3 linked regions of the Oryzias latipes genome follow. The protein of the gene in region 3 binds, or shares a complex with, the protein of the main gene of each other region. Links are inferred from orthologs where the notes say so. Each region holds a gene or a part of one and is shown on either strand. Other genes may lie near its edges. The genes, in order: taf8, taf12 and tbp.

Region 1 (3,756 bases), on a different chromosome or scaffold from region 3:
TGTCTTAACCTCCTTGGAATGGGAGGTTCCAAGGGGAAGAGATGAAGAGGGAGCTCTTCGTTTCCTTCCCACACTCTCTGTTGATCTGGACTGTTTGACCCAAAGAACTTAAAGTCCTCCACCTTTACTCCCTGTTCCACTCGAATTCCGCTCCTTCATTCATCTCATTTCCAGAGGAAACCTCCGCCTGCTACCTCTCACTATAGATCATAATGTCATCTGCAAACATCATGATCCACACAGATTCCTGTCCAACCTCATCCGTCAAGACTGTCCATCACCATGGAAACAAGAGGGTGCTCGAAGATGATCCCTGGTGCAGTCCCACCTCCACCTTGAACTCCTCTGTCGTGCCTACAGAACATTTTTTACCAACGTCTTCCAGCTCTCATCCATATCCTGCATAATTCCAACGTTCTTCTGTTCCTCCAGACTCCTCATCCAGACCGCAGCTCCTTTCTCTGTTTTCTGTCATACATTTTCTCTAGATCTACAAAGACACAATGCAGCTCCTTCTGACCTTCTCTGTTCCTCTCCAGAAGCGTCCTAAAAGCAAATGTTGGATCTGTGGTTCTCAGCCTTTGCATGAAACCATACTGTTGCTCACCAATGTTCCTTTCAGCCTAGCTTTCAGCGCCCTGCACATATCTTCACTGTGTGACGTGTCAGTTTCCTTCCTCTGTAGTGTCTACAAAACAGCAGCTCAAATCTAAAGTAAAACTTGTTCGTTTATCATAAACACAACAATGAAAAAAATCTGCAGCAGCTGCTTGTGTTTACAGTTCCTAAGAAATACTTATGCAGATGTTATCACTGAAACGGTCTCCAGACGTTTTGAATTTCATTTCACAGGAAGAGATTTTAATGTTGATGTAAATGATGCGTCATAACACAGACTGACATGTGGGATGCCACAAGGCTCCGTCCTTGGTTCTACACTTTTTAACCTGTACATGCTTCAACTTGGTGATGTCATCAGGAGACACTTGATGACTTGGGACCCACTGATGACCTTTTAAGTTGTTTTTTAGATGTTGAAACTTGGATTGGAGAGAACTTTCTTAAAGCTCAATACAGACAAAACAGACATTTCTTAAATCTTGGCCCTGAAGCTGAGAAGAGAGGGTCCATTTTTCCTTATAAACCCATTACTTATAAACTCAGAAATCTTGGTGGGATTTTTGATGCAGACTGCATTTTTTCATCTTAGAAATATTGTCTGAGTGAGACCCTTTCTCTCCAAAGCCAGCACTGAAATATGAATCCACACTTTTTTAACATCTAAAATAGATTATCTTTATCTTTATTGGCTGCAGCTTGTTCTAAACTCAACTGTGCACCTCTTAAGCAGAGTCAGAAAGAAGGAGCACATTACTGAAATGTTGAAATCTTGCACTGGCTCCCAGGGAGCATAAAGATCCATTTTAAGGTTCTTTTGTTAGTTTCTACAAGTCTCATGCTAATAAAAAAATGGAACTTCAGTTTTAATCAGAACTGCTTTTAGTTGATGACCCTCTCAGAGACCTTAGGTGCAGGTCTGCTGATGGTCCCAAAGGTCAGAACAGAAAGCGAGGCCACATTTCAGCACTGTGGATGTGAGGGCTTCATCCAATGTAGAGGCTTAAGACAGAACTCAAAACTTATCTGTGTAGCTTTCCAAGGAGTTTGGTACATTTCCTCATATTTTATTTTTTATTTTGGAGACTTGTAGATTGTGTATGTGTTAATCAATATTTATTATGTTAATGCTAATTTCATTTCATCTTCTAAACCCGTTAAGACCCTTTCGGAGTCACGGGGCTACAGAGCCCATCCCGGCCACTCGTTGGCGAAGGTAGGGAACATCCTGCACAGGTCGCCAGGAGGAAGCTGGAGTCCCCGGAGAAAACCCACTCATGGACGGGGAGAACATGCGAACTCCAAGCAGAAAGGTCCCGTTCTGTTTCAGGTTCCCACAGCCGGGACTTGAACCAGGGCGCAAGAGTCCTAACCACTGCGCCACCATGCAATTTATGTTAATGATTACCATTATACATTTTTTTCTTTGTATAAAGCACATCGAGGTGTTCTGTAGCAGGAAAAGCGCTCTATAAATAAGGGTGAATTTATATTTTGAATTGCTGTTAGGGCAGTACTAAAGAGTCCAGGAGGGCTCGGAGGTATTAAAGAGAGTTGCAACCTTCAGGAGGTTCAGAAAACTAAAAACCTCATCATCAAGAATAGTCGGCTTAGTTAGCATAGATATACTCCGTCCGAAACAATAGTCTCAACATGAAGAGAATCATTTACAGAGCATGTTGCACAAAAACACTAAAGCTAGCTCAGCTAGTCGTTCAAAACAAAGTGGAGTATAATCGTACTTGTTGCCATTTAACCCAAAATCAACGATGAAACCTTTCCGCATCCAGATGTGGCTGCTAGCAAGCTTTCCGATGCAAACCTGCAGCATTTACGACAAACACAAACGCTTTTCTTACCCCGCTGGAGTTTAACGCGCCTCCCGGCGTCACGGCGGGATCTGCCATTGGAAATAACTTCAAAAATGTCTCCTTTTTAGGTGTGAATTTTTTAAATTAAACAGATTTATTCGCTTAGACACGATAAGCCACCGCTAGTAAATAAGTTGTCCATGTATGACGACACTTCCGTCATTCAGACGGAAACGATTGTGAATGTCTTGAGTTTAGCCGACACTGCCCCCTAACGTCCGTCTACAGTACTGCGATTGTTTACATTGTCATTTTTATCCACTGGCAGATGGAAGAAAAGAAACGGCTTCATGACAAAAACAACATAAAATGCATTCAAATATCTGACTTTTTTTTTGAAAGTGTTAAGTTATCCTGAATAAATGTTATATTTTTTTCCAAAAAATTGAAAAAATAAAGAGAGAAAATATTGTGATTTTCAATTAAAAAACCCATTTTAATTCAGGCTTGTTGCACAGACATCTATTAAGTACCTCAATCACCAAATACTTGATGCCATCAAAGCAAGACTAAAAGAAAAAAGTTTTGTTCAATTTCTCACGATTTTTCAGTGCAGGAGCAGCAAATGTGCCTCTTTAAGTAGACACTATTTTCCTATAATCTGAGTACCAGTGGTTAGCACAACACCATTTTTATTAAAACACACAATAAATTGAATTGCACAATTCCCCTTTCCTTCCCATGGTATTTGATCCATATTAGAATCTGCTGCCCAGCAGCCTGAGGTCACTGTGTCCTGCAGTTTTTAGTGTATCACCACATCTGACATTCTGTTAAAAAAAGGGGCAGAAAACATTTTTACCAAAACTAAAATAAATTAGAAATTCATAAAAATAAAAAGGTCTGCCATTGTCCATTTCCGTTAAAGTGAGAAAGTCTTTTTAGGAAGCATGCAGGCGAGTGGCCGAGCTTCTCCTTGTGACCATGCCCAGATGTTTGGGCTTGACCTCAGGCACCACCACGCTCAGTATGTCCTCAGCTTCAGTGGGGATCTGGACATGGTGGGATTTCAGCAGCAGCCTCTCCCTTCTCTTCTTGTCCATGAAAAGCTCAGCAGTCTGTTTGCCATCAGCAGGGCTGTCCCCAGAAAAGGGCAGGAGAATCATTTCCACCATTCCGCCGACCATTCCCAGCAGGGTCAGAGCAGAGCCCAGCGCGTAGATCTTCACCATGTTCCTGCTGGGCCCCTCCTTCAGAACCTCCTTCATAAATGGTACAATGTCTCCACTGTTTTCCATGATGGCTCTGCAGAAAGAAAAAGGAACAT
Region 2 (3,756 bases), on a different chromosome or scaffold from region 3:
GTTTTTTTTTATTTTTTATAAGCGTTATCGTTGTTTTTAGATTTAATGACAGAGTTTTGCTGATGGATGTTGACATGGGAAATGACTGTGTGAACCAGAAACGCAGCTGTCCACTCTCTGCTCCAATAATCACGACTGCTCTCTGCGCGTCACGCGTCGCTCAGGGAACCAAACCACTTCTGTTTTAACCTGAGCTTTGCGGGTGTGTTTTTTTTTCTTTCCTTCCTCATAAGAGCCATCATGAAAAAAATGTGTTAACGATGTTTCTCACACTTTTTGGTGCGATGTGGAAAACCTATCAAGCCAACATTTCACGCTTTATTTTATTTCACTGCTCACGGGGGATAAAAAAAATTGTTTTTAGTGTAATCTTAGTTGTTTTTTTTTTAATTAAGACCTTCAGTTATATTAAAATGAAAAAGGGAAAAAAAGAAAAGGGAAAACTCGTTTACATCTAACAAAGACAATGCCTACGATGGCGTATGCTACATCATCTTGCATTATAAAAAAGTTTGTTTAAAAATATATTTCCAATAAAACAACAGCATGGCGTGAAAATAAACACTGAGATGTGAAAGTATACAGAGTATTGAGACGTAAAGAAAATCATAAATATTGGCAACCAGACCAATCTAGATTAATCGATTTGTTTTCCTGTGATTCAACCAGATCGATCTGTCTAAAGCAAATTGGTAAACGAATTGACATCTACCTTTATCAAATTGTTTCTAATAGTCATAGACAACAGACAACACACATGTAATGGCAGCAAAAAATGATCGAGCCGTCATTACAGTCCAATGCTTTGAAACATTTTTCATTTTTTGCAAAGAATTTTGTGACCATAGTAGAATGGTAGAATGTTCTAATATTGTTCAGATTATTTTATTTTGATGTGGAAAAACAGACGTGGGCTGAACTTTATGAAACTAAATTTTGACTGTAGATTTACTATTAATTGTTGTTTACGTGTTTGTTTGTTTGTTTGTTTGTTTGTTTGTTTGTTTGTTTGTTTGTTTGTTTGTTTGTTTGTTTGTTTGTGCACATATTTAATTTACATTTGATTATCTTGCAAGAAATACAACAAGGAATCTGTTCAGTACCGAGTCACACTGGCTGTTTTTTTTTGCTCAATTTTAGGTCAGTGAATTGGATGAAATTGGATGTTTCAAAATGAACCGATATCAACTTTGAATCCTATTAGCAACCACAAATTATGATACAGATCAAATCGTTTTTTAAAATGAATCGTAACACCCTTAATATTTATTATGTTTCCTATCAAAAACTTAAAAAATAACCCACAATCTTTTATAAAGCAACTGAATGACAGGCCATCTAAAAAACAAGCGTTCTCGTTTATTGTATTTATATATTTTATTTTCCGTGCTTCTCCACAGAGGCCGATTTTGTTCACGTGTTATTGAAGTGCCACACACAGTCCGACAGGGGGCAGCGTAGCGTGGACACGGTTCTACCGGAAACAGAATCGGGCAAAAGCGGAAGTTCCGAATATTGCTCCCTGAATTCTGGAACGGTTGTTGCCTGTTCGTAGACAAATTTAGTGTCAAAGACGTACCTTTCCCTCGAAGTAATGACGAAAATGGACAGATAGTGTTAATTTAAAAAGGTGAGTCAATAAAAAGCTGCCACGACTTAGAATTTTGTTTGAGGAACGCCGAACTGAGAAATTAGCTGCTGAATTTAGCAAGGCTAACTTCAAAGCTTTGTAGCTGCTATTGTTTTTAGCACTAACAAATCTGTTAACGTTGGATTCTTATCTGTGTACTAAAGAATTTATGTAATAATGGCATTTGCTTACTTTGTTGTATTTTATTAAATTAGCCTAAAGCCCTTAAGACATCGTGTAGCGTTAAGCTAAGCGCTTTCTGCTGCGCGCGTTTTCCGGTCTCTGTTTTGGAGTAAATAATTAGGGGAAGCAGACATCAGATTTACTAGTTTAATTAAAACATACTTGCATTTTGTATTGGATGCAAACGCTAGTTTTTAGGCTTATTAAATGCTGCTTTAAGCTACATGCAGTTAACCGAAGTAAACTAAATTGGGAGGGAAATGTTTTTGGGAATGGATCATCTTTTTTTCCTAATTTCACTGAAATTTGTACTGTTTTTCTACAAATTTAAGGTTGTGGTTCCTTGAAAAAGCGGTGCTTTCGACTGCCACGCAGGATTTGGGAGAGCCTTACCCGGGCCACCAGCGTCTTGTAACTTAAAGAACTGCTTTGCGCTTCCTCCTTGACCTTGATCACTGAGAATGGCCAATAGCACCCCAATAATAGTGAAGAGCCTGCCTGCTGGTCCTGCAGGTAGAAGCAGCCCAGAAGGATCTCAGGTTGAGTATTTTTCAGTTTTGTATTTAGTATACAGTAAACCCTTGTTTTTCGCGGGGGTTACGTTCCAAAAAGAACCCGTGATAGGCAAAATCCGTGAAGTAGAAACCTTTGTTTTTTCTTACAATGAATTCATTCATTCATTCATTCATTCATTTTTTTGAATGAAGAACACAATGCACGATGCAAATCCGTGAAGTAGCGAAACCGTGAAAAGTAAACCGCGTTATAGCAAGGGATCACTGTAACCACTTTTATGTCCTTATATTTTTATATATAACTTTTGAAATGTATTCTATTTGAGATATTGTTTATATTTTATCTAATGTAAAACTGTTTCATCTATTTGTCTTTTTTTTGCAACAACTACCATGTACGCTTTTGAATTTGATGCTTTGTATTTTGTTTTATTTTTTTACCTGAAAATATTTCTATTGTGTGACTGCAGCTAACAGCTACTTCGGGATACTGTTTAATTGTGAAACACAAACCTTACACTCACATGTGTAAGTGTTACACTTTCTCTTTCCTCTTGTCTTCAGGTCCTCTCTAAGAAGAAACTGCAGGACCTGGTGAGAGAAATTGACCCAAATGAGCAACTGGATGAGGATGTTGAAGAGGTCAGATTAAAAAAATATTGTAACCTCTTATAAAGACTATTAAAAGACATGCCTGTTGTATACCTTATTTAATATTTTCAATGCTTACGTCCGTCCAGCATTTCAAACTGTTACGTAGAAAACATGGATTTTTGTTACATTCATAAATCAGAACATATCTTTATTTGTGTGTAAAATCTTACTTTGTTGAGTTCCTTTGAGGCCTTCATATGTTTTTTCTTCTCAGATGCTTCTACAAATTGCAGATGACTTCATAGAAAGTGTTGTGACAGCAGCCTGTCAGCTGGCACGCCATCGCAAATCAAACACGTTGGAGGTTAAAGACGTTCAGTTACATCTAGGTATGTTTTTTACAGGCTAAATGCCCTTTTATTTTGTACTTTTTGTTTGATAAATATTTAGTGGAAACTAAGGGATTTTTGTCTTATTGTTGTGTTGTTTTTATGTATTTTAGAGCGTCAATGGAACATGTGGATTCCTGGTTATGGCTCTGATGAAATTCGACCGTATAAGAAGGCTTGCACCACAGAAGCTCATAAACAGGTAAACGATAGAGTAATTTTTCTGTTTGTGAAGTCATATTATTGCCGTAATTGTTAATTTTAGTTCCCTTTTCTTGAGTCTAATGCTCCCCATGTGTTTCTTTTTCAGAGAATGGCACTGATCCGCAAGACGACTAAAAAATAAAAGGGCAAGCCCTTAGGTTGAACCCAATTTGTATATTTTCAAATTTTTAACTTTTCTTTTATGCAATTGTTTTCATTTCCACTTGAGTTTGTCATTTTA
Region 3 (2,958 bases):
TTATTTTTACTACAGAGAAACTAAATGTAAAAAAAAATTTTTTTTACAACATAAACCTTTTTGGAAAAGCAGTCTTTATCTGAAAGATGGAAAACCTAGATGTTTGAGGAGAAAATTTGTCACAAATCCAAAAACCACAAATACAACAAACACCAAAACGGAAAAGTTTGGAAACATCTTCAAATTCACGAAATGACAACTTCAACCGAGTAAACTTTAAACGTGACCTTATTAGCCAATACAAGTCATGTGCCACTACAGACCAGTTTGGGCCGTTCATTCAGATGCATCTCCAATAACAGCAGCTGTTTTACTGCTTATAAATAGAACTAAGAGAAAACCATTGGTTCTTTTACCTTACATATTGTGCTGTTGAACCACCATGTTACTCAAATTTCAAAGTGTTCAATTTAACAATACTTACAGAAAACTGTATAAAAACTACTGAATGTCATGGATCTGATGACCTATGAACTCTATAGGTTTCCACCCAATGTGACCGATTCAAGTTTCTTTTCTAGACTTGAAGAAATTGAAGGGGTTTTTTTTACTTCAAAAAATTTCCTCCAGATAGTTTCAGATAAATAAATGAGTCTGTGGCAAACACACTGCTTAAAGTAAAAAAAACCTCAGATGTTACAAAGACAAAACTCTGCTTTATGAACAGGATGTATGAACACGTTTATTAACGCACAGTACAGCTCTAACAGTTGTGGAGGAACAGGTATCCAAATGGAAAATGGATTTCTGGTGACAACATCCATAATAAGTGGAACAGACGTTAAGTTGAAACTTATTTTAAAAGTTTGGCTTCTGAAAGGTAATCCTTAGGTTGGTTAACGAGAAAATGAAATCAACAAGTGCCAGAAACTCAAATCAAAAAGTGATAAGTACTTTTCTAAACAAAGTTTTGCAAAAAGAAAGAAAGAAAAAAAACCAGGACAAGCAGGAGCATTTACACTGTTAACTCACTCTCTGCAGAGATTTATAGAAAAAAACAAACTCCTTTGTCTTGGTGCATTTAAATTGAAGACAGACTAATGAACATTATTGTTTTGAATGCCTGTTAACATCATTTTTCCAAGTTTCCTGTTTGCTTTAAGCTTTTTGGAACATCCTATCAACTTTGAATGACTAATAATTGAAAATAAGTTATATACATTTGTACAAGTTTTACAATAAAGCACATCTGATATCACAATTATGCTCAGTTTCTTCATAAAAAATAAAAAGCTTCAAGCAATGATGGAAACATGGGGTGACTTTGACTGGTAAAGGCAAATTATTGCAGAACAAACTACAGTCTGGATCGGATAACTCAATTATTGAAATGGTTTCTATTCGTTATAAAATGAGGGCTTTCACTGTAACCTGGGGACAAGTATGGCTTCAGTTTAATTTGAAATTTGAAAAGTTAATCGATTTTGTGGCAAGATTGTTTACAAGGGGTTGACCCAAAAAATAAGGAGAAATCATTCATAAATCGAGTAAAGATAGAAAAAAATCAGTTTGCAATATATACAAAACCTGAAACACTGAAATAAAACCAGGAAAAGTCCCGGTCTACCTGCCTTTTTCTTCAATACTTTTTACATTTTCGTACAATTCGATGTAAGAAAACTTGCCAGCGAGGAAGAGAAGAAAATGTAAAAGCTAAAAGCAGGTAAAGTTCCGGGTGAAGATCAATTGTGATGAGGAAACGAGCAGAGGACCTTTAAAATGTCTTTTTGGTTAAAAAAAAAATTAAGGGAAAGACAAATAGTCTTTCACATTCAAGTCTTTACTGTCAACTTGAAGAGGTCAATATTAAAATGTTAACATCTCAGTGAATATTAAAGAAAAAATAGACAGAAATGTAAAAAGTTATAGCGTTTGGATAGAAAACAGGGAATTATAAGTTCTACGTAGTCTTGCGGAATCCTTTCAGGATGGGATAAATGTTTTCAAAAGCTTCATAGATTTCTGCTCTCACCTTGGCACCTAAAAATAGAAATAAATACAATAAGTTAAAAAACAGAAGGTAAAGCTCATCAAAAAGAATTTAAAAATCTGTTTTGGAACTTCAATTTTACATCAACAAAATTCTAAATACTTCACGGAGAACAAAGAAAAAATAGAAAAATGCTAAATAAAAGTGTAAACAATAAGTACATACAGTTAACATCCTGTTTTACTCACAATAGGAAACAAAAAAGTCTAGTGAAAACTTACCTGTGAGTACCACCTTCCCAGAAACAAAGATAAGCAGCACAATTCTAGGTTTGATCATTCTGTAAATCAGGCCTGGAAAAAGCTCCGGCTCATAGCTGCAATACAAATATTACCTCATTTTAGAAAAGCAAAATAAAACCAGGAGAATAAAAAAAAAATATATAGTTTGCCATCTGAGTGTCAAACTTCTGTCTGTGAGTCAGATTGTGGTTTAGGATTTTGTTCAATTCTGACCTGCTTATCAGATTTACAGACACTGCAGGAAACCAGTTTAAAAAATGGATGGTTTTGGAGCATTAATAAAATCTGATGCATACATATCATTGTGGTGCTTGTTCAGTACATTTATATCATTTGTCATCCATTCAGATTTATTTTTTTACTTAATATTTTCTTTTATGTTAAACATATATGTTTAATACCTAAGTTGGCATGTGTGTCAGCACAGCTGTCCCAACATATTTTCTTATCAATAACTGTCAATAGTCGATTAAACTGTCACATTTTTGAAAAGCCTTTCAGGGATTTTTATACGGATTCTTTAAATCTGCAGTAAAACAAGGAGAAATTACCTGCTGAACTGCTGATGTGTGAGGACCAGTCCTTCCAGACGAATGGGAAACTTGACATCACAACTGCCCACCATGTTTTGAATCTTGAAGTCCAAAAACTTTGCAGGAAAACCGAGCTTTTGCACCACACGGGCATATTTTCTAGCTGCTAACCTGGACTGTTCCTCACTACAAA

Evidence for each region.
Region 1: tbp (region 3) and taf8 share a complex: the UniProt entries of both Homo sapiens proteins name them as parts of the TFIID basal transcription factor complex. The link is inferred for Oryzias latipes from reciprocal best matches to the Homo sapiens genes TBP and TAF8.
Region 2: tbp (region 3) and taf12 share a complex: the UniProt entries of both Homo sapiens proteins name them as parts of the TFIID basal transcription factor complex. The link is inferred for Oryzias latipes from reciprocal best matches to the Homo sapiens genes TBP and TAF12.

The regions. Positions count from the first base shown.
Region 1 is NC_019865.2:25,322,792-25,326,547, reverse strand, and holds the start of taf8 (transcription initiation factor TFIID subunit 8), read right to left. Parts: upstream 2,666-3,756; 5' UTR 2,526-2,665; coding exon 2,478-2,525; intron 1-2,477. UniProt on the Homo sapiens protein: The TFIID basal transcription factor complex plays a major role in the initiation of RNA polymerase II (Pol II)-dependent transcription.
Region 2 is NC_019874.2:22,542,450-22,546,205, forward strand, and holds the start of taf12 (transcription initiation factor TFIID subunit 12), read left to right. Parts: upstream 1-1,476; 5' UTR 1,477-1,630; intron 1,631-2,145; 5' UTR 2,146-2,274; coding exon 2,275-2,352; intron 2,353-2,892; coding exon 2,893-2,970; intron 2,971-3,196; coding exon 3,197-3,311; intron 3,312-3,424; coding exon 3,425-3,513; intron 3,514-3,621; coding exon 3,622-3,657; 3' UTR 3,658-3,756. UniProt on the Homo sapiens protein: The TFIID basal transcription factor complex plays a major role in the initiation of RNA polymerase II (Pol II)-dependent transcription.
Region 3 is NC_019861.2:24,478,765-24,481,722, forward strand, and holds the end of tbp (TATA-box-binding protein), read right to left. Parts: intron 2,952-2,958; coding exon 2,784-2,951; intron 2,307-2,783; coding exon 2,212-2,306; intron 1,981-2,211; coding exon 1,901-1,980; 3' UTR 657-1,900; downstream 1-656. UniProt on the Homo sapiens protein: The TFIID basal transcription factor complex plays a major role in the initiation of RNA polymerase II (Pol II)-dependent transcription.